3 linked regions of the Astyanax mexicanus genome follow. The protein of the gene in region 1 purifies or fractionates together with the protein of each later gene. This does not show direct contact. Links are inferred from orthologs where the notes say so. Each region holds a gene or a part of one and is shown on either strand. Other genes may lie near its edges.

What was found.
Region 2: the proteins of rpa3 (region 1) and zufsp purify together in Homo sapiens (affinity purification with western blotting; 3 studies listed by BioGRID, with this or other methods). This does not show direct contact. The link is inferred for Astyanax mexicanus from reciprocal best matches to the Homo sapiens genes RPA3 and ZUP1.
Region 3: the proteins of rpa3 (region 1) and smarcal1 purify together in Homo sapiens (affinity purification with mass spectrometry; 3 studies listed by BioGRID and IntAct, with this or other methods). This does not show direct contact. The link is inferred for Astyanax mexicanus from reciprocal best matches to the Homo sapiens genes RPA3 and SMARCAL1.

The regions. Positions count from the first base shown.
Region 1 is NC_064410.1:35,612,415-35,620,112, forward strand, and holds the start of rpa3 (replication protein A 14 kDa subunit), read left to right. Parts: upstream 1-4,691; 5' UTR 4,692-4,837; coding exon 4,838-4,936; intron 4,937-6,638; coding exon 6,639-6,713; intron 6,714-7,698. Other genes in the region: umad1 (UBAP1-MVB12-associated (UMA)-domain containing protein 1), read right to left, coding at 2,817-2,898. UniProt on the Homo sapiens protein: As part of the heterotrimeric replication protein A complex (RPA/RP-A), binds and stabilizes single-stranded DNA intermediates that form during DNA replication or upon DNA stress.
Region 2 is NC_064411.1:31,760,805-31,768,067, forward strand, and holds the start of zufsp (zinc finger-containing ubiquitin peptidase 1), read right to left. Parts: upstream 3,020-7,263; 5' UTR 2,886-3,019; intron 1,242-2,885; 5' UTR 1,229-1,241; coding exon 694-1,228; intron 598-693; coding exon 490-597; intron 1-489. Other genes in the region: kpna5 (importin subunit alpha-6), read left to right, coding at 4,494-4,622, 6,423-6,524. UniProt on the Homo sapiens protein: Deubiquitinase with endodeubiquitinase activity that specifically interacts with and cleaves 'Lys-63'-linked long polyubiquitin chains. Shows only weak activity against 'Lys-11' and 'Lys-48'-linked chains.
Region 3 is NC_064418.1:40,252,848-40,260,734, forward strand, and holds the start of smarcal1 (SWI/SNF-related matrix-associated actin-dependent regulator of chromatin subfamily A-like protein 1), read left to right. Parts: upstream 1-4,814; 5' UTR 4,815-5,461; coding exon 5,462-5,737; intron 5,738-6,710; coding exon 6,711-7,059; intron 7,060-7,887. Other genes in the region: marchf4 (membrane associated ring-CH-type finger 4), read right to left, coding at 1,074-1,439. UniProt on the Homo sapiens protein: ATP-dependent annealing helicase that binds selectively to fork DNA relative to ssDNA or dsDNA and catalyzes the rewinding of the stably unwound DNA. Rewinds single-stranded DNA bubbles that are stably bound by replication protein A (RPA).

The sequences.
Region 1 (7,698 bases):
TGCAGAGAGGGGCCCGGAATAGTTGGAGACCCGACCCCATAATCAACATTTTCATTACTCCGAGCTTTGGATTTCAGGAAAATACGCTGAGCTTCAGTGATGATTTAGTAAGAAGGCTTGAAACACTGGTGTATTTACAGTGTTTCATATGCTGGGACTGCCCTGATTCTGAACCCTGAAGGAAATGTGAGATTTCTGCAGCGGCCTATATAGAAAACGGGGTGAAGGACATACAGTAATAGATCAGGAAGGAGAACAGGCTCTCCAAGTGCAAGCACTGAGAAAATCCAAACGTTGCCTTATCTCCTTTCATTTGCAGCGTTGAGTTACAACAATGGGCAGCAGATTCTCTGCTGAAGCACAAAGCACTACTGTGTTGCCCTCTTATGGCAAGTGTGTATCACTGATGTATAACTGTATTCCTAAGGGGGGACCTGCCCAGCTTACCCAGGTGGGGATAACATGAAACTAGAGACCTGTGTTTGTGCTGCCTTTTCCTCAAGTAACCCTGTCAGACAAGCATACAAAGCAAACTATACCGGTAGTTAGATATATAGTCTACCATTCAAAAATATACATTAAATATATTTTTGTTCTTGTATTTAATAACAACTTCTACAATACTACTTATATACAGAAGCCAAAACATAAGGAGTGAACTACTACTGTAGTTTTTTATCCTATAAAAATCTTAAGTAACAGCCGTTGCTGTGTTTTTTCTTAAAAACTGCTACTAGGTCTATCACAATAACTATGTTTGGAAAATTGTACAAAAACTGTGGCTTCTATAGAGGTATATAGAAGATTGAAGATTGAAGTTTGAATGTGAAACGCCTATTAAGTCCTATTTCACTGTTAATATTTGTACCGTTTTATTAATTATTGTTGCTTTTATGTTGGAGTACCATAAATCATTGATATAAGAAAAGTTTAGATATTACTGTAGCCTGTAAGCAGCTTTAAATCCATTTTGTGTCTTTTTGTTTCCCCTTGTTACACCTTGGAAAACTGATAAAAATACAAGTCAGAAAAAATATCTAGATTTGGACGCTGCTATAAACAATATCACTCAATATATGACCATTTAATGCATTTTTTTTTAAATGATATGAAAATAGCATAATAATGCAATTATACCCTTTTAAAGAGCAATGGAGTTTTAATAATTACAAATGCTCAGAAATGGGACAAAAACTGTCTACATATTTGTTTACATAGTCATTTAATTAAAATAAAACTATTTAAAAATAAAGTGAACAAACTGGCTCAGTCACAATAATGGGACCTCCTTAGTAAGTACACACATGTAGTATTAAGGTGAGAAAAAAATGATTGGGATGTTAATAATGTAATTATTGTGACAGGTAAATGTTATTTTGTATTTATGTAGTTTAGTTATTTTTTATAAAATCTTTACATTAACATCCAAAAAATAACTTAAATAGCTAAAGGACATCTTCATTGCATGTTTTGTCATTTTATCTAACATAATATTTTAGCATCACTTCAGATATAATGATTTATGGCAATAGTACAGCTTTTTGACCTATACAAATAATTTACTTATTGTTAACAGTTTTATATAGCCCAACTAAGTAATAAAAACTATATGCAACTGTACAAAAATTGTAGATTTACCCTAAATCAGACTGGTTCTTTTATACTGAAATTATTGTTTTTGTAAAACAACAGCTTCTATATGTAAATTAACACATTTTAAAACAGTACTTAGATTAATCACGTTAATTCAATTCAACTTCCAGCCCTAACTGCACCAGAGAGGAAACCTAACAGTGTGTTTCTCTTTCTTTCTACAACCTTTTTTCTGATATACACTCCAGTGAGAAACTAGTCACACATTATCAATTGTAAGCAAGTTATTTTTAGGTGTGTAGTAATTAGATAGGTTAAATGTTCACATAATTGTGTTTAACTTATAATACTTAGGCTACTTTCACATTGCTAGGCTGAAGTGACTCAAATCTGATTTGAAAAAAAAAATGGATTTGGCATGTTCACACAGCCATGAAAAAATCAGATCTGAGCCACACTGAGCAAAAAAATCTGATTTGTGTCACTTCAACCTGGTAATGAGAATGTAGCCGTTCATGGCTGTGTGAATGTGCCAAATCAGTCAACTGAGTCAGTTGTATATGTGGTCCTAAATCGGATACGTATCCGATTCGTGAACATGTGGCATGAATGTGAACGGTAAAATCGGAATTCATGCGTCTTTATGCTTTTAAGCATGCGCTACGTGCTTCTCTCTCGTTCCCACACATCTCTAGGTGCAGCTGTGCATCTATAGCTGCAAAAACAGCAAAAGCAAACCACTGGCCTTTTTTTACATCCTCGACCTGAGCATGTTCTTCAGATGAGCTATTTGCTCTCTACTTGAGCAAAATATTCTTCACATATATGGGCTGCTAACGCATCTATTTCACCTTAATAAAGCTACGAGCCGTCACTCAAATATGTCGTTTTTTTGTTGTTGGTGAAGAAGGCGATGTTTATACACGTATCGATGTGCGCATCCGATCTGAGCAAAAAATCGGATTTAAGCAATGTATTTATTATTTTATCGACTGGGCAAAAATACGTACTTTTTTTTATTCAGTTGCGATTTTTTTAATAATTCACATTAACATTTAGTCCCCTTTGAGCTTTTTATATAAGTGTTTTTTCAACATCCTTCCTGACAAAAAAAAAATAAAACTGAAAAATGAGTCACTTCCTTTCCAGAAATCTCATTTTACAGCACACGGCCGACTTTTATTGTTTCAATTCTGAACCAGTCCTTAAACTATAAAACTCACCAATAATAACGAACCCATCTGAATCTTTCTCGGTCGGAGACTTTTTCGTCGAGTCTTTCTTAAACCCGAAGAAACTCAACATCTTCCTAAAACCGAAACAGAAAGAGAGTCAGGTTAACAAGTGAGCTTAGCCACTGTTAGCTATGTCTGCTAAACAGAGGATAATCAAACACATGAGCTCATTTATATCAGTACAACTGCACCGTTTTACGACATAAACTAGAGTAAAACACTGAGTTTAACAGGATTTAAAGAGAACTAACACACAGTGAGAACAAACAAACACGACACCATGACATTCAACACTCACCCAGAACCGCTCTGATTCCTTTAACTACAGAAAAACACGAACCTGGTCTAACTAATTAAACTGATATAACTCTAACAGACTGATACAGTCACTCCGCTGACACTCTCTATCCCTTCATTTTAATATTTTCGCATTTTACGGCAAGTTTACAGCTTAAAAAGTTGTTGAAGTTTTTTTTTCTGTTTACATCCAGCTGCTCCGACTCTTCAATTTTACAGTCCGACTGGAAACAGAGCCCGGAGAGGCTGGATAAAAAAAAAAAATGATTTACTCTAATATTGATGTTAAATACACATGATACTTATGTATAATTTAATATATATTTAAAATGTCTAAAACTAAAATATTTATATTAGAAAATATTTAGCTTTCAACGAAACAAAAAAAAAACATTTAGTAAATATATAGTGTGATTATTTCCAAATAACTTAATTATTGTAATTTATTTTTCATTACAATTGTATAGATGAAAAAAACTAAAAAAATATTAACCTAGACCACATTACGAACGTTTTTTTAGTTCCTGGTAGGAACTAAAATACTGAAACGGTGTTCTGTCGAGTTTTGCTACCCATCGATATGTGCTTGTTTAGGACAGTGCGCATGCGCCGACCAACATTTTTAAATATGTTTTCACGTTTTTCATGATAATTCCTTAAAGATTTTATTGGGCGCATTACACAACCTGCATGTAAATAGCAGTTGAGAATAATAATAAACTATAACACTATAAAAACGGTTTCTAATCACGTATATGCCTTTAACTTTTTAACTTAACCTGATACATTTATTTAGCCTATCCACATATCATACCTAGACTTCTACTGAGAGTTTTTTTTAATAATGTTTGTAATATGGTGCTGTTTTTGCATGTTTAACTTATTAATCAATAAATAGTACTAGGGTATCACGGTTTGACAAGGTAGCACAACTCGACAGAACACCTGCCCACTTCCTACTTCCCTCGTCTAATCCGAAATGACTAGTAAACGCTAGAGGGAGCCCGCGACCGTATCCTGGAGATAAAAAGAACTAATTGGCTAAAGTATCAAATAGTAACGAACAACTTGTCTAGGATTTTCATTTCAAAAGTAGAAAAGTATTTTTCTAAAATAGCAAAGCAAACGCAACTGCATATTTTCTTTTTTCTACAGTAAACAGTTTTAAAAAACTGTTTAATAACAAAAAAATAGGTTATACATACAAAGCATGTGCATTTAACATCAAAACAGCAATACATAAACATGTTTTATTCAGCACATATTGGTTATACATGCAAATAATGTTTTATTTAATATAATTAAATTTTATATATAGTTCTAAAGTGAGCACATTCAAGATTGTATTATAATTTCCAGTAGAAGGCAAAACATTTAGTAAAGTTGCTGTAGTAGATGTAGTATGACTATTTCCATATTATTGCCATTAAATTGTCATTATAATTTTTATAGACGGTAAAAACAGTTTAATAACATTAATATCAGCCACATTGTGAATTTATGTTCGGGTAGGAACTAAAGTGCTGAGCCGGGTTTTGACCCGCTCGGAAACACGTGAAGCAAAAAAGGAAGTACGTCAGAATTTCCCGGGATAATTTTTGACATCTTTTTGGCGCGGTTTGTGTTTGTGAGTCGCAGTGTTTTTTTTCAGGCAGTAGTTTAAGTTTATTTAGTTTGAAATACGGATTTAGACCCTCTTTAAGCCGCTGAAAATGACGGGCGTGTTCGAGTCTCCCAAGAGCAGGATAAACGCGGCGATGATTTCTCAGCACGTCAACAGACCGGTGTGCTTCGTAGGACGAGTGGAGAAGGTGAGGAGTGAGCGGGTGCTATCAGACTCTTTAATCACTTTAATAGATATCAGACTTCAGTGTTTAGCAGCAGTAAATAATTTATCTGTGCTGTGAATCAGGAAAAAATCACTAGGACTGCCCCGATAGATACTAAACTATAACTAACGTCCAGGACTTTCCCCGCAGCTTCTCAGTGTATTCAGATAAAGACAGGGTGAACTAGCGTAATGCTGGGCAGTTATTTTAATGCAGATTTCTGAAATTTAGTCAGAATTAGTAACGTTATATCAGAATGTGTTCTCATTAAACAAAATGGGAAATGGAAGCAAAATACAATCGTGACAGCAATGGAATATTGTTAGTCCTCTCTTAGTTAAATTTAAAAAGTCAGACAACAGTACCAGTCTGAATTGTATATATAAATACTAAAGTCATCCATACTATGACGAAAACATATGGAATTGCTGGTACCACTGTAAAATAAGGATCCTTTATAAAGGGTTTATAAAGGAGTTTTTTAATAGTTATACATTTTACAAGTTGTAAACACTTTAAAAACATTAAGGACATACAACACACAAATAGAAAGACAACAGTAAAAACAACTTTTTTTAAACATATCTAATAAAATAATATAGAAATTCAGTTTAGTCATTTAATATGTTGTTATAGTAAAATTAAAAAAATATTAACAAAATGTTAATAATGACTGATGGAAAAGGCAAAGTAAGATTCTAGTTCTAGTAAGATCTGAGGTTTAACAGTATAAAAGTGTACTTGGAATTACTATTTGGTACACAATAGGCCACTGTGGCCCTTCCTATTTACATGTTGTAACTGCTTTTTTTTATAACTTACTTAATAACCAACTCCTTTGTACACTGTTTATAAATCCTTTTTAAAGGAACCTTATTTTAAAGTGATACCGATTTTTTTATTGAACAAAAATGTGTCAAACAAACCAGAATATGCGTGTTATATTTTAGATTCTTTAAAGTATCTAGAGTCACCTGGAATAGCTTTCAATAGAGTCCAAACTGGTACTGACAGGTCCTGTGTATATGAAGTTTTAAAATTGTATTTATTAGAAATACAATAAGGCTCATACATTTCTATTATGTGATTCAGAAAAAGTAAAATAAAATGCACAACTCTTAATGGACCAGCTCTGATTTTATAACATTTAAATGTATAAATGTAATGTGTGTTTTTCACCTAATTATTAAGTTTATTCATTAGATAACTGAAACACAGGAAATGATGCTCTCTTGTGGCTAAATGAGGTCAGATTAACAAAGCTGTCCCAGAGGAGTCAAAGCTGTTATTGGCTGTTTTTTTTTTTTTTTTTAGTTATGTATATTTAACATAAAGTGACAGGCTTTGGCATAGAGTACATAGAGAGCTGACAGCTGAGAGACTGTGTTAAATTCTTCAAGGTTTCCTCTTAACCCTACAATATGATTATCTTCTGAAATGTCAAAGGTATTATTTATGTACTTACCTTACTGTTTTGTGTCTATGGAAAACTGTTTTCCCCCTATTCTAGAAGCGCCACTAGGTGGCGCACATTGGCCGTATTTTACACTGCATGTGTCAAATCCTCACGAAGTCCCTAACATCTAGTAAAGGCTGTTTTCCCCCCAGCCTTCACTCTGTTGTGTCATTCTAATGTATGTTGCTTTTAAAACCTTGCTTAAAATGTATGTCCTCTTTTTAAAAGGTCCATCCTACTGGAAAGTCGTTCACAATGACCGACGGAGAGGGAAAGACGGCATCAGTGGAACTCAACGAACCAGTAGGTGCAGTTATTTCATTGCAGATGCTGAAACACTTAATTAAATGAGTGTAAAATAGGGCTGCAATTAATGACTATTTTGGTTAATTTAACTGATGATTGTCGATTATTGGTATGATTAGTCGTGATTATTTTTGTCATGCCCTCCATTTGTACTTCCTACTGGTAAGGACAGCTAAACCTTTAGGCCCCAAGACCAGTTTTGCGGCACATTTTGATAGTTTGATGTACCTATATTAAACCTAAAATTACAAAGTATATTATAGGAAACATTCACACAGACTGGATGTTGTTTTCAGGAGATTCTAGAATACTTGTATCTATTTTTCACTTTTTTATTTTACTTTTTTCCAAGGAGAAACCTCCCTGAAATAATTGTTTAAAAAGATTTTTTTGTAACTATAGTCTGTAGTAACTATTACATATTTTTAAAATTTTAATGAAGTGGACAGTGTACAGTATCTCTAACACTTATCCAGCTAATGTCAGTTTAACTAATGTTAGTAATGTTAATGAAGAAGTAAAGCCTGTTCAAACTCACCTCAGCAGCTCTCTGCATTAATTTAACTCACCATGGGTAATAGTTAATAGAAAAGTCAGTGTTTAAAACTGTACAGAACTAATAAAGATGAACTGTAGGGTATTGTGGAGTAAGATGTATTCGCCACTGACTAATTGCAACTAAGTCCAACTAACTGTTGATCTTTATTCTCATACTACAGTCACTGTGTATTTCTTTGTATGACTTGTCACATTAACAGTTTTTGTTTGGAAAATATATAGTGGCAGAAATTATTTCAATAAAATAATTTGTCAATATTTATATAGGCAATATTTGGTACATGTCAATATATTGTGTGATAAATCAATAGTGTAATTATCGTAACAGGACAAAGTGATTGACTGTTAGTCTTTCTTAGAGTTTATGATTATTTTATGAAATGTTTCGCATCCTTACTGTACGTAAGTGCTGAATTATATTGTA
Region 2 (7,263 bases), on another chromosome or scaffold:
TAAAAAGAAAAGAATACTTTATTTTGTATGATAGGTTTTATTGATTTGGAACTGACCAAAGAATTTAGTTCTCTGCCTACTTTTTTATTCTGTAACATCTGATCTTTGAATGAAGTGTTATGCTTTTATTTATTTATTTATTTATATATATATTATAGTTATATAATGTTCATTTGTTACCTTCTGACTAAATAACTCCCTTATCTCTCACTTATGAGTAAAAAGAACCCTTTAAGTGTGACAGTGATTGATTTATATGGTGATACATATCGATATCGACTGACACGGAAAACTATATTGTGATAAGATTATTTTTTCCATTTCACCAAGGTCCTATTCTTGAGCACCTCTGTACACTCTGAGAAAATAGGCAATATTTAATAATATTTAACAAATAAATAGAAGAATCTATACAGACCCAGGAGCATCATAGCACATTTACACCAGACTAAAATCACTGAAAAACACCAGTAACAATCGCTATACTACCTTCAGATGCAGATGAAGCCTGGTCCTGGAGATGCAGCTCAACGTGTTCCTGAAGAATAAAGCAGTCACTGCAGACCAGACTGCAGAACGGACAGGGAAACATCCTCTCTGCAACAAAACGACCATAAATAACCAAACATATCCAAACAAAGGCCACTATAAAATAAATATAAGAATATATTAAGACATTTTATTGATGAATACCTTTCTTGGGGGAGGACAGGCGTTTCTGTTTGGCCTTGCAATGCTCTGCTGAGTAATCCTCAGACTGCCCAGGGTGGACGCTGGATGTTTGTTTTTTAGATGCGCTTGCTGTGCTTGCCGCAGGAGGTGAGGATTTAATCCTGGACTGGGCTCCTTGACCTTGAGTAAGTGCAATTCCTGCACTAGGCGCAGCCGTCTCATTAGCTGTTTTGAGAGTGTGATGACCTGATGTTTGAGGGGAAGCTGGAGTTCTCCATGAGTTACAAGAGGCTGGCGAATTCTTCACAGTCCATTTAGCACCATTGGTTTCAGTGGGGTCTGGTACCCGATCTGCTGATGCCTTGTCAGTGGGTGAGTTCTGAAGATCCATCTCTGTGTGTGCAGTACTAATGTGGAAGTTCAGCTCATCGTAGGAGACTCCTGATAGCGAGCAAAACGGACAGCTCATCTCATTTTCCAGGTGGCTCAGAAGGAGGTGGGTTTTTAATTCTGATTCAGATGCAAACTCTTGGCAGCAGATGTCACAAACAGGCATGGTGGGACAGCTTCTGTCAGTGGAGTACATAGTAAACGTGCAGAATCAGTAAGTGTTTCATGAAGCATCTCAAAATTGTACTGTTATAATATTATATTATATTATAATAATGTGCTTTTTAAAGGGGCGTAAAAGTGCTTCTCCCACTGCATTACATTAAAAGTCTCTCAGGGGCTACTTTTCAGTAGTGTATCACTTGGTGAGAGATTGTTGACTGCTAGACCTGCTTCTACAATGCATGTGAAGACATTTGCCAAGTTCACTTCAAAATGGGGTACATCAATGGACTCAGCAAAGCAGGATGGTCATTTTTGACAAACCATAAGCCAGTCATCCAGCAAACGTCGCCCTTTACAGTGGTGTTGTGACCAGGAAACCTGGACTGATAAGGACTAAAACCTTATTGACTTTAAGAAAAGCCTCAACCGCTGGGTGATACAACAGACAACCACTAAAATGTGCCACGTGATGCCTCTCACGGCAGGGCTTCCAACTGGAACAGTTGGAACAGGATAATGCTAACTCATTAAGGGTTTTAAACTCATCAAGGGTTTTACCAGGAATGCCTATTGCAACACTTCCTTGGCCAACTAAATTACCATATTTATCAACAATTGGGCAACCAGTTTGGTAAAGATTGTTATAAGGGTTGACCAGCTTATTCAGACTGGTTATTCTGGCTAACCTGCTTGGTAAGGCTAGTCTTGGTGGTCAACCTGCTTGGTCAGGCTGGGTATTGTGGCCAACCAGCTTGGTTGTGCTGATCATACAGGTCAACATGCTTGGTCAGGATGGTTATCCTGGCTAACCTACTTGGTCAGGATGGTCTTGATGGTCAACCAGTTTTGTCAAGCTGGTTATTCTGACCAACCAGCTTGGTCAGGGTGGTTATTCTGGCTAACATACTTGGTCAGGCTGGTTTTGTTGGTCAACCAGCTTGGTAATGAATGTTATGAAGGTTGACCAGCTTGGTCAGGCTGGTTATTCTGGTTAACCTGATTGGTCAGGCTGGTCTTAACGGTTAACCAGTTTGGTCAGGCTGGTTATTCTGGCCAACCAGCTTGATAATGCTGGTCATACAGGTCAACTTGCTTTGTCAGGCGGGTCTTGCTGGTCGATCAGCTTGGTCAGGCTGGTTATTCTGGCTAACCTGCTTGGTCAGGATGGTCCTGCGGGTCAACCGGCTTGGTATTATTTGTTTTGAAGATTGACCAGCTTGTACATGCTGGTTATTCTGGATATCCAGCTTGGTCGCAGAGCATGGTCAAGTTTGGATATCTAGCTAGCTTTTTTTGGTTTGTCATGCTTGTAGAGCAACTAAACCATCAAAGTCTGTGTTAACAAAAACAGAAACATACTCTACATTGGACAAAATCTAAACTGGTCAACCGGCTTAGCTTAACCAGCTGGAGCTGTGCAGTTTTGTTTACAGCAGGGATCTAAATCTAAATAAACACTCCCACATGCAAGTTCGTGCACTAGAAGTCAGAAATATGTTGCTTTTTTAATCAAACGAGGACGATGGCATGTTTTAGACAGAATGAATGAGCCCCTTCAATGTATTCAATCATATTCAACCATTCAGAGACAATAGAAACACACAGATAAACCTCCAGCATATCTAGCTACATTTAAATGGTGTAGGTTAAATACTTACTCGAGTTGTTTTAACCTGTTAATCAGTTTTTCTCGCTGCACCTCAGGTTCTCCGGGTTCTCATTTCACTGAAACTCAGCCTCTTTATTTTCGTTTTCCTCGCCTGACCCGCTGGAAACATCGCGGGAAGTGACGCGCTTCTCGGCCGTAACCTGGGGACGCCATATTGCCCTCCTCAGCCGGAGTGAATCGGGAAGGAGGCGAGAGGAACGGAACAGCAAATAAAACACGAAAAAAGCGACTATCCGCACAGGACTGGGGTCTAGAAGTGAACAGGTGAGCCTCAGTCACCGTCCGGTGTGACTTTAGGTTGGGTTAAGGGTGATTAGGGGCTTTAATTACGCTGAGAAAGGAGGGCAGAGGCGGAGTGACGTAGGTTAGCTAGCTTAGCATTAGCTCTGCTAACCTAGCGTTAGGTTAGCACTAGCGAGCAAAGCTGGTATATTTGGGTTGCGAAACCAAGAAAAAACAGATAAATTTCCTTCTTAGTGCGGATTAAAACACATTGTTCCCAGTTACATTGGTTTACCAGCTTGTAATGCTAACATACATCTTAGTTGGGTGCTGTTTAATGCTCCAAAATGCTGGAGTTGCCTTCTTAATCTAATTGTCCGTTCCACCTTATACAGGGCAGCAGTGCCAGCTAAATCCTGCAGACTCCAGAATTTAACTGCTCATATATGTTTATGGTAACTACTCTACTCTTTAAGGTGGAATGGGTGGGTTCAGTTTTGTGTTGCCCCACCTGGCATCTAGCTAGCTAGCTTAGTTAGCTAACGCTAGCTATCATAGCTTACTAATAAACCAGCTGTTATTTAGCGCTACCAGTTTTAGAACTCAAAATCCCACCTGATTTATTTTTTAAATACAGATTAACTTTTAAATACAGTACATTTTTAAGCTGTATAGTTAATATAACTTGTGGTATTTCTATAATATTGGCTGCTGAGACTAGCTAGCTAATGTTAGCATACAGTTATGCTAATGTGTTTAGTATAACTATATTCAGCTTTTCCATATTAAAATAAATAAAATAAAAACAGTTTGAGATTTTTTTAATCATTATTTAATGTTCTGTCTACACCACTTAAAGGATTGTTAAATATTGTTGTGCTTTAAAAGTGTCTTTAAGGGGCACTAAACCCCCTGATTTTTGATGACCCCACCTTCAGCTCAAATTTGGAAAAAGGCTAAAAATTGGAAGGGGCGTTGAGTGATGTATGGGTTTAGAGGTGCGGCAGGAGAGAGAGCTGATTGGCTGAGCTACTGCTGCAGCAGTATGCCTCTGATAGCAGTGAGACCCAGATGATTGGACGTCAGCAGGGGGGCGTTATTATTAATTGTCTGATCTGCATATTGTGAGTGTTAATAGTCACATATTAAAATAACTGATGTTATGTAAGAGCCAAAAATCTAAATTGTAATCGAAAAGAAAGTCGAAAGAATTTATGGATATTGATGACATTTTTGAGCCATCATCATGTAGTGCAAGTTTTAAATGTGAAATAAAAATGTCTGGAATTTTATATACTTATAAACTTGAAACTTTTGCACAGCGTGCAAGACCAATTTGATCAGCTTTTGCTGTATGACCACTAGGACAACAAAAATGGCGAGTCCAGGAAAAGACAGTTATCGAATGAAAAGCTACAAGAACAAGGCCCTGAACCCGCAGGAGATGAGAAGACGGAGGGAGGAAGAGGGCATCCAGCTGCGGAAACAGAAGAGAGAAGAACAGGTAGGCCTGTAAAGCAGTATTACTCAAGTACACTTTGTTGCAGAATCAGACAAATCCAAAGGGTGGAATTGGACCACGTCCAGTGGTTTGTTCCTATTAATTCGTATTAGTCTGAAATCCTGTAATATTTCCTCCTAATCTCTTTCTCTCTTGCTCTTACTCACACACATACACACAGGCTGTTTTTAGCTCAGAAATGATAAACTCCCGAAAGTTTTAAATACTCTTCTTACCCATGTTTTTAGCAGTTACACTCTGCCCTTCAGCTTCATTTAGTAGCTTGCTCCTGTACTTATGTTAAAAGTAACATTACCTCAACCAGGAAAACTGTAATTTATCCTGTGTTCTTCTAAAGCTAGGCAGTGTAATTGTAATAGATGTCCCACCTCTTACATGACTCCAGATTCTCCTGCATGCCAACCACAAATCATATTATATAATATCTTGGGGCAATCGAGCAAAACAGAGTGACCAACATTTGTTGTAGGCATGTGACAAGGAGAGCATCCTAATTGATCTCACATTGTGCTCAGTAGATCATTACAGAATTTAACACAGACATGACTCACATGAGAGATCTCATGTAGTTACAAATTAATGAATATAGGCATAATCTGGATTTGGTAAACAACTATGCTTTGTTTCATTTAGGCCAACAATTTTTGTACATACGATTCATATGATGGGCAGGTGCCTTCCTTTTGATGTTTCTTAGAAAGGTCTCTGGGTTTTCGGATCAGCACTAGCAGAAATCTGACGTCTGGTGTTCAAACAATGCAACTGCATGAGATTTCATAGTAACAGAATGTGGAATTGCCTGTTTCAGCCATGCACAACGTATAAGTTTATATATACAGCTCTGGGAAAAAATAAAAGCCACTTCAAAATAAGTTTCTTTGATTTTACCAAATTGAAAACCTCTGAAATATAATCAAGAGGAAGATGAATTATCACAAGCCATCAAACCAAGCTAAGCTGCTTGAATTCTTGCACCAGGAGTGGCAAAAAGTTATCCAAAAGCAGTGTGTAAGATTGGTGGAGGAGAACATGCCAAGATACATGAAAACTGTGATGAAAGACCAGAGTTATTCCACCAAATATTAATTTCTGAACTCTTAAATCTTAATAAAAAATATTTACTTGTTTTCTTTTGCATTATTTGAGAATTATTAGGAATTTGGGAGATTTTAGTTTATAGAATAAAACAATTATGTTCATTTTACTCAAACTAATACCTATAAATATTAAAATTGTAAAACTGCTTTACAAACTAATGTGGTCTCTTATTTTTTTCCAGAGCTGTACATAAAATATGTATGTAGTTCAGCATATTTTTGCAATTAAATGACATATTGGTGAAAATGAAATTTCACATATTCATTTTGCAATTAATGATAAATTAAAACGATAAATTCAGAATACAAACAGTTGTATGTCTAGGTGGAGGATGTGAAAGATGTTATGCAAAACTTTTGCATAAGTTTTGCATAACTTTGTGTCCAAAATCTTTCAAACACTGTTTTGGTAACTGTGCACCATTACTAAAGTTTTACAAAAGCTCAAAAGAGTGTGATGTGACTAACATAAATAGTAAATAGCTTGTTATTTATGTATTTTATTTTTTTTATGTATTTAGTTTTTTTCACACAAATTACCTATGCAAGTTAAATATATATTTTTGGAATCACACACAGATGGTAACTTGTGAGATTATTTAGAATGTTTTTTTGTATCCTGTGTAAAATAGTTATGAATTTATCTTTCTTTTTATATATTATGTATTTTATTCCTGAACTGCAGCTGTTCAAGAGGAGGAATGTTTATGTGCCGCCGGGTGATGAGTCCATGTTAGAGTGCCCCATTCAGGATCCTGACGTCAGCTCCACTGTCCCCATATCAGGAGTAAGTGTATTATTAATGCTCCAAGTGCTGTTAATTGTTGGCTGGGAACTGGGAATACATGCTTTTATCCAGGAGAGCACTAGAAATGGTACATTCCCATTTCACCACTTTTACACTGTTAGCCTAATTCTTGTTAGGCTAGAGAGGTAGAGGGAAGTGTTAGAGCTACATGACAATGTTAAACTGAGATTTTGTGAGACAGACCAAAGAAGACCCACAAATTTGAGTATTTTCCTTGTTACAAGTTACACTAACCACAATATTACTATAATATAATGTGTAGTTTACATGTTTTCAGGCCTTTTCCCTCATAACAAGCATAAAAAAGCTAGTAGTTTGTCTCACTAGATAGCTAGTTAGCTAACTATTCCGGTCCACCTTTAAGCAAACAGCAGAGGCTGCAGCACTTTAACATGGAACAGAAAAACAAAATAAAAGCTTATTTTAGCTCCCCATTACAAAGGAATTAAGGAATTTAAAAATAATAAATAATTGCTTCACCACCTGCCTCTTTTCTGAAAGCATACAATACCCTAAAGCTTTCTAGTTAACAAGCAGCGAGGTTGCTGGACTTTAGCGCTTCACTGCTATAACTATCTGTATCGGGTTCTTGAAGGGATTTTACTCCTTCTCCTTATTACTCTGTTCAAAGGGGAATGGTTCTTTTAAAAACAAGGTGTAGGGTTACAAATGAGAAATGGAATTTGGATTATATATTTTAAACTTTTAGTTTCTAATC
Region 3 (7,887 bases), on another chromosome or scaffold:
TGACCATACCCACATAAGCAAAGCCTACAAAGACATTCTTAAAGTTTTGTTAGGAGAAATAAGCCACAATCCCTCCAACACATTGTGCAGGACTGATTACCAGCCTCTGAAAACATTTATTAAAGTTATTGCTCCTCAAGGAATTTACACTAGTTACTGAAAGCAATGTCTCACAAACAGGGTGCAGAAACTTTTGTACTATGATCTGAAGAACGAAAACTGTAAAAAAACTAATGTGTGTATCTACAAATATTCCAAATAAGTCCTTAACCCAATACAAAGGTTGTGAAAGGACCAACAAAAACAATTTATACAAGGAAGCCCACTAAGGATAGAGGAATGAGCCAAAATGCCTCCAACCTGTTACTGGAAACATCTAAATGAAGCTATGGCTTCCAATGATGAACTTCTAATAGGCCATTTTTATAAACAGTGTAGAAACATATGCTTAGCCCAAGATCCATTTGGGAACCTTTTTGATGTGTTTTAACCCTCTTTGGCATTGTGTTGCCCTCAGGCAAAATAACTCTTTTATGATCATTACACATTCATGTCACAGTCTCAGAATGTCACATTAAGAATAGGTGTAAAAGGGGGAGATGCAATACTTTCAGGAATCAAAACCATATGAGATTATTAATTGGATTATTAGTTATTAAATTGAAATAACTAAAACATGAACATGTGCATTACATTTTTCACAATAGTTTTATTTTAAAATGTATATATTTGTATAAATTGCTTGTTTTCTCCCAAATATGTCATGCATATATACAGATAACCTTAAATTAAAGTACCCTTTGGAATATTGTTGCCTTGAAGCAACAAACTAATTATGATTGATCCAATAACAGGGAACCCCCAGCTTCCAAAAAGTGATATAATTATTATAGTGATATAATAAATATAAAGTGCAATATTTTTTTTTCTCCAAAAAATAATAAAATTCATGCCATAGAGGGATAAGACCACAGTGATAGTGGATAAGGTATCTCGTACTGGACTTTTTTTTCATTACTATAGCCATATCAAAAATCAGAGCAACTGTCTCAGCTCTATAGGTGTGTCCCTACCTGCTCTGGTCCTTGGAAGCATATCCTGCACACAGGTACGCCCTCAGCGTAACTGATGAAGGAGAAGCGCTCGTCGTGTTTGTCCCTTTTGGAGAAGTCCTCAGCTGCTGTGGGCTTCTGTGTCTCTGGCCCCACAGGACACTCTGTGGAGGGGACACTCCAGTGCTGGAGCCGGAAGCTGGTGTTGTTGTTGTTGGCGGCGCAGGAGCACTGGTTGCCTTCGCTTTCACGGCGTGTGTCTGGTGGTCCGCTCATGGGGCTGAGCACAGGAGGCGTCTGTTGAGCCTGGGGGACCTGGGAGGCCTGTGGCCTGAGCAGGAGCAGCTTCAGGTCACTGAAGAGAACACAGCAGCGGCCCTTCAGCATGCCGGGTGGAAAATCAGCATCCACCACTTGAGTTAAAAACTACTGTAAGAAGCGGATGCTGATGCTGCCCAGTGATGCTGGTGACTGTCAGGTTTCTTTATGAAAGTTTGTACTATGGTAAATCTGGAAACTATAGAAGAAAAGTATAAGTGTATCTCCAAGTAGGTATCCTTTTTGGTAGTAGTCCTTTTGATCACTCTAACTTGGCTTCATCGCTGAAAGCTCATTGATCTTTTTCATCCACAGAAGACACATGTATGACTTTATCCAATATTCATCCCCAGTAGATATGGATTGTGTAAATGTAAGCAGGTGTCAGAAGCCATGGGATTCATTCAAAGGAAAAATAAAACAATGCTAAGAAGCCAGGAGCAACTTTCCAGGTCCCACGACAATGGCAAATGATGGCATATTAAGAAAGTAATGATCTAACATAAGTAAGACAAAAACTCTTGCCACATAAATTGTCATATTTTTAGTCTTTCTGTATCATCAGCATGTTGAGTAGCCTAAGGATCCTCCAGGTTCTCCAGGTTTAAAAAATCACAGCCAGCTCAGGTCCAGTCCACTAGTCCACTCCACTCTGTGCAGGCTAGTAAAGTGCCCGATGTCCTCCCCTAGTTTCCAGCACTTCTGCAGGCTTGTTCTCCTGTCGCTGCATCTTTATCATCTTTATCACAAGGCGAACGTGTAGGTTCAGCTTCTGCTTTATGTGCAGGGTACTTCACATCTCTCTTCACATCTTCCTGGGAGGTTGGCTGCCTGCACTTCCAGCACAGTTCATCTCAATCCCTGCCCATCGTCACCAGCAGCAGCTTTCAGAAGAGATACGGCTTAAAATCCAAGCATGGAGCTGCAGGGTCTGCTTTCCCGCTCAGGTTTTGTGTGGCAGGACTGGTGCTGGAGTCTCTCTCTCTCCCTCCCTTGCTCTCTATCTCTCTCTCTCTCTCTCGTATTTGTTCGTTCACTCTCTCTCTACCAATCTCCCTCTTCCCTCCCTCTCTCACTCTCTCTATCTATCTCTATCCTCTCACTCTTTCTCTCTATAACACACTCTCTACCAACCTCTCTCTCCCTCTCTCTCTATTCTCCCTCTCTCACTCTATCTGTATCCTCTCTCTCTCACACACACTCTCTATCAACCTCTCTCTCTCTCCCTCACTCGATCTTTCTCTCTGTGTCTCTCTTTCTCTATCTCTCTTTATTCTCTTTCTCTTTCTCTCCCTCTCTCTCTCTATCTCTCTCTTACACACATACTCTCTACCAACCTCTCTCCTCACTCTCCTCTCTATCCTCTCTCTCTCTTTCATTGTGTGCATGTCTCTCTTTCTCTACCCCCCTCTCTCTTTCTCTCTCTCTCACACACTATCTCTCTCTATCCCCCCCTATCTCTCTCTCTCTACCCCCCCCCCCCCCCCCCCTCTCTCTCTGGCTCTGCGGTTTCAGCACCGCTTGGCGGGACAGCTCCCCAGCAGCAGCGGCGTCACTCAGACCTGCGTGACGCTCCTCAGCTCCTCCCCGCCGCTGCGGGAGATCAACACCCCCCTGTATTATCATTAGTCTCCAGCCAACACTGTTTCCCTTTCAAACTCGTTACAGAGATCACTGAACTGCTGGTTTGGCGGTTATCCCCATTAAAGTTTGGCTGTATAAATTTTATGGGTCTAAAACTGTGTAATTGCAGCCTAGAACCATTTCTTGTCATTTATTACTTTAATTTGAGGCTATTTTCTGGTGGTTATTATGTCATCTTAAACAGACATTAGTTTGGCTAAGTAAACCAGTTTACTGGATCAGGTTACAATAGATTATACAATAGTAATATCCCACAGTTTTAGGTCATTGGATGAATAAATTAATGAATTAATGAATAAATTAATAAATGAATGGGTAGGCTGGTGGGCAATTAATTGGGTGGATGAATGCACGAATCAGTGTGTGGTGGATTGATGTGTGGATGAATAAATTAATGAATGACTGGGTGTTAAAATGAATTGATACATTAATTAATCAGAGGTTATGTTGGTGGGTAGATGGGAAGATTAGCTAGATAAATCGACAAATTAGTTAATTAATTAATGGAGTAATAATTGGGTGGGTGTAAAGATCGATGAATTAATCATGAATAAGTGTGGGGGTTTGGGGGGATTCGTGATTTAAACTGTTTGCACTGTAGGTGGTATGCTTAAAATAAATTCTATTGTTCATGAATAAAAATAGATAATCAGACTTTTTAAACCTTGTCATCCAAAACATGTGCATAGTTTTGTAAAATGGGACTTGAACAATAATACAATAATACAATAATGGACAAATCAATGCACAAAGCATATAGCACAAACATTGGAAATGCCAACTGCTTTTTAGTAAAATAAAAGAATGAATCCAGATTAAACATTTTGTCAGGTTTTTGAAGATAAAAATTCCAGTTGGGTTTTTACTTCATATCTGAATAATATTAGACATTAACTATGTGCTGATGCAAATCTCTGTATTCTAGAAATCCAATCGGAATTAAATCCATCCACTACCCACATATTCACCCTGACACCAAATATATTTCATCTTTTGATTTGCCTCTTGTTGTTTAAAAAAAAAATTATTGCAAAAAATAAAAAATAATAATTTTGTTAATGTTTTCACCTTTGCTCTTATTTGGAAATACAAATACACAAACCAAAAAAAGTCTTATTAGAAAAAATAATTAATAAAAACTTTTTTTTTACTATTTATTTACTTATTCGTTTATTTATTTGAAAATTACAGAACAATAGCCTGTAGTATTTACTCAATAAATTCATAATATTTGCAATATACTCAACATCTTTACTCATCTGGATCTGAATATGAAAAGGTATATAATTAAAAGTCTCTCCAAGAAATTAAACTTAAATTAAAAGAAGATAAAAAAGCTGAGGAACAGATTTTGCTTAACAGAAAGAAACCGCACATATTTAGAAATGTTGCGATTTTAAATGTGTTTTGTATCTATTATGTACTGTCTTCAATCCTAGTTTTATTGGACTTTTATTGTTATTATTATTATTATTATACAACCGCGCTGGCTCTCCGCCCCGCCTCCTGCAGATCGCTTCCGGTGTCCTGTCGAGTTATGCAACCTTGTCAAATCGTGGTACCTTAGTTTTTATTTAAACGTAAAAATGCAAATAAAACACGCTTTAAGAAATCTGCGTCGAATGGCATATTTAGATAAGCTAACTAACTCTTTTAAAGCCAACTAACTGTTTAAAAATAAAAAAGTAAAGTTACGGTGATGAGACGTGATTAGATAAATAGTTAAGTTATATTTTGTATTTTTTAATCGCTTATTATTGCTATTTCTTATTCTTAACAGCTAATACAGATTTGTATCACTCAAACACAAAGAACAACAGTGAGTTGACCTTTAAAGCACACAAGATGAAGATCAATTGAATAATCATAAATCGTAAGAACTTGAAAATATCACAAAAATATATAATGTGGATCCGCGCAGGCGCACTGGTGTAAGAAACACATATCGATGGGTAGCATAGCTCGACAGAACACCGGCTGTTGGGCGCTAAGGTTGAAAGTTGAGCTGAAGTTCTGAACTAACGGCGGAATGAGGAGGAAACCGGTTTATTACTGAGAATTTAAACACTTTTCTACACAGATCCTGATCTGTAAACACTCTCTACAGCATTCACACCTGTTTACCGCGCAGATAAACACACATAACCCTGTACAGATTACTGTACAGACTTATTTACAGCGCTAAGCTAACCGGCTAATCGGCTAACAGGAGCTTCGCCGATGTAAGCTAACTTAAATAAACAAGCAGCGGAGAAACTGACTGAGCGGCACCATGACCCGCTGCACTAAACTTGAACCACACACCCACCTTTTATAATAACAACCAGCTCCACCAGGCTTAATGTTTAAACCAGGCTCAATGTGGTGAGCTGGGGTTATCTGCTTAAGCTGCGCAGCTCCAGTCCAGGATTAAAGCGAGGTGACATCTGAGTCAGTTTTTCTGACTGATGGTAGGAATGTCCAACACTCTGACTCCTGAACAGAAGAGGAAAATCGAGGAGAACCGTCTGAAAGCGCTCGCAAGAAGAGCTGAGAGACTCGCACAAGGGAATCCACAGCCTCTTCAAAACGACCTCTTCTCCTCCAAGCAGCAGCAGCATGCTTCCTCTCCAACACCTCAGCCCCGTCCAACAGCAGGACCATCCAAAAAATACACACCACCTTTACCCTCACACCGAAACAACCCTCAGCCCTCAACAAGCAGAACAGCCACTGCCAGACAGGTATGAACAGTCTGTGCCCTTACTGTGTGCAGTAGGGGTGGGCAATATGGCCCTTAAATAATATCACGATATTTCAGGACTATTCAAGGATTTTGACATTGAATTAAACTTCAAATGTGAAGTTTAACTTGAAATTTAACTTCAGAAATACACTACTGCACCAAATTAATATTTAAGTAACAAATACAGTGCATTATAACATGCAATATTGGCACTGCTTTGGAGAGCTGTGATGAGGTTTGGTTACAGTGCATTACTGGCTGATAATGGCACTCATAGACCTCCTCTCAACCAATCACATTGCAGGGTCGGAACTACCTGTGGTATAATACATTTTATCAGGTGATATTATTGCATAGGATATCATATGAAACACCCTTAATTGACACTTTTACCACATTGTAACAAAGGTCAATTATCCAACATGTAATAAAACTAATAATGCACTCCATGTATCCAGGATTGAGGAAAAATAAATGATACTGAACAGATATAATCTGTCTCTAGTAGATATTTAACGAGAAATATGAATGAGTGAAAGAGTGTACTCAACATCTGGATAGGGCTGCAAATAATGATTATTTTGGTAGTCGACTAATCTGATAATTAGGACTTGAATGAAAAGAGGTGTGTCCACACTTTTGATTAGTACTGTATATTATCAGGATTTTACCAATTAAAAAAAAAATTCTTTTAAAGTTTTAGATTTGAGCATTATTTTAAATTGGTCTCTTATGTGATTTTTGTAAATTTATGGAAGTGTTTTATTAGTCTGTTCACTGTGACATTTTAAGCAATATTTAGAACAACTGCCACATTCTCATTATATCAGCAAGTTAAAAACTGCTAAAAACATTTTGGAAATATTCATGTATCTGCAAATAGTGTAAACAACAATTGTTAATTCAACAATCAAACATTAGTCCATTTAATGGTTTACACAGGTGTGTGTATTTTTTTCTCTTTCTCTTAGATCCAGGTCATAGATGCTCTTCCCATCCCTAACAGACACTTTCCAACAAATGAACCCCAGACTTCAGGTCCTTCAGCTAGTTCCAAACCTCCTGAGGTCAAACCTGATGCATCGAAGGGTACCTTCAAGGCCAATAGTTTCTATGGACAGAACCAGGGGCTGACTGCCCAACCATCTGACAAGAAGACACCTAAACCACCAGACACTTCCTCTGCTGGACCTGCTAAGAAACCCACAGTGTCTGTGAGGGGGAAATGTGTGCCACATACGGAGGAGCGGTTTAGAGTAGAGGTCGGCTACCATGCAGAGCTCATTGCAGTGTTCAAAAACATACCGTCCAGAAACTATGGTAAGAAAAATACTTTACACCAACCAATTCACTCTCAAACATATATTACAGGTCACATATGATATCTATCTGTAATAATTTTAATTAAGAACATTACAATAGGTAGGCTAAACCTAAAACCTAAAACTCACTGCAGTAAGTGACAAAAGCCTACGTTGAATATTAGGGCTATGTATTGGCAAGATTTTGACGATACAATTCAATATGTCACTGTTTATTGCAATACAGTAAGCAAGTATATATATTTCGATTGTTTAAATTTATTTTTCGGAAATCTGATAGTTTGAAAACACTTATTCTTAAAATCTTAGTAAAAGAAAAGTTTACTTTGTATGTAATCAGAACAATTTAATCTGCACTGCTATCTATTTGTCAAGTTATCTAAGTGGTCCAGCGGTCTAAAGGGCTGTCATTAAAATCGGGAGATCGCTGGTTCAAATCCAGGTCATGCAGCTTAAATAAAAAAAAAAATAGTTATGGGAATCCAGTTATGAGAAAATGTTAAACAACTACTTAAAAAACAATTGAAAAAAGTTTTCAACAATCCTGACATGTTATCACAGAACCTACAGGTATCTCCTGCCATAGTTGTTTATTATGGGGGTCCTTACATACTAAGAATAAACATAGAAATACAATACGATATAATATAACAGCTGGTAAATGGTGTCTTTGTCTACTGATAGAGGGATTAATATTGCAGCAATTTTAGAGCAATTAGTGATTTTGGTAAATTGTGTTGTGTGGCGATTGAAATATTTACTACACTATATATATAATATATACTACTATATGCTTTGCTTACCTACTTCAATTTATTTGCTTGAT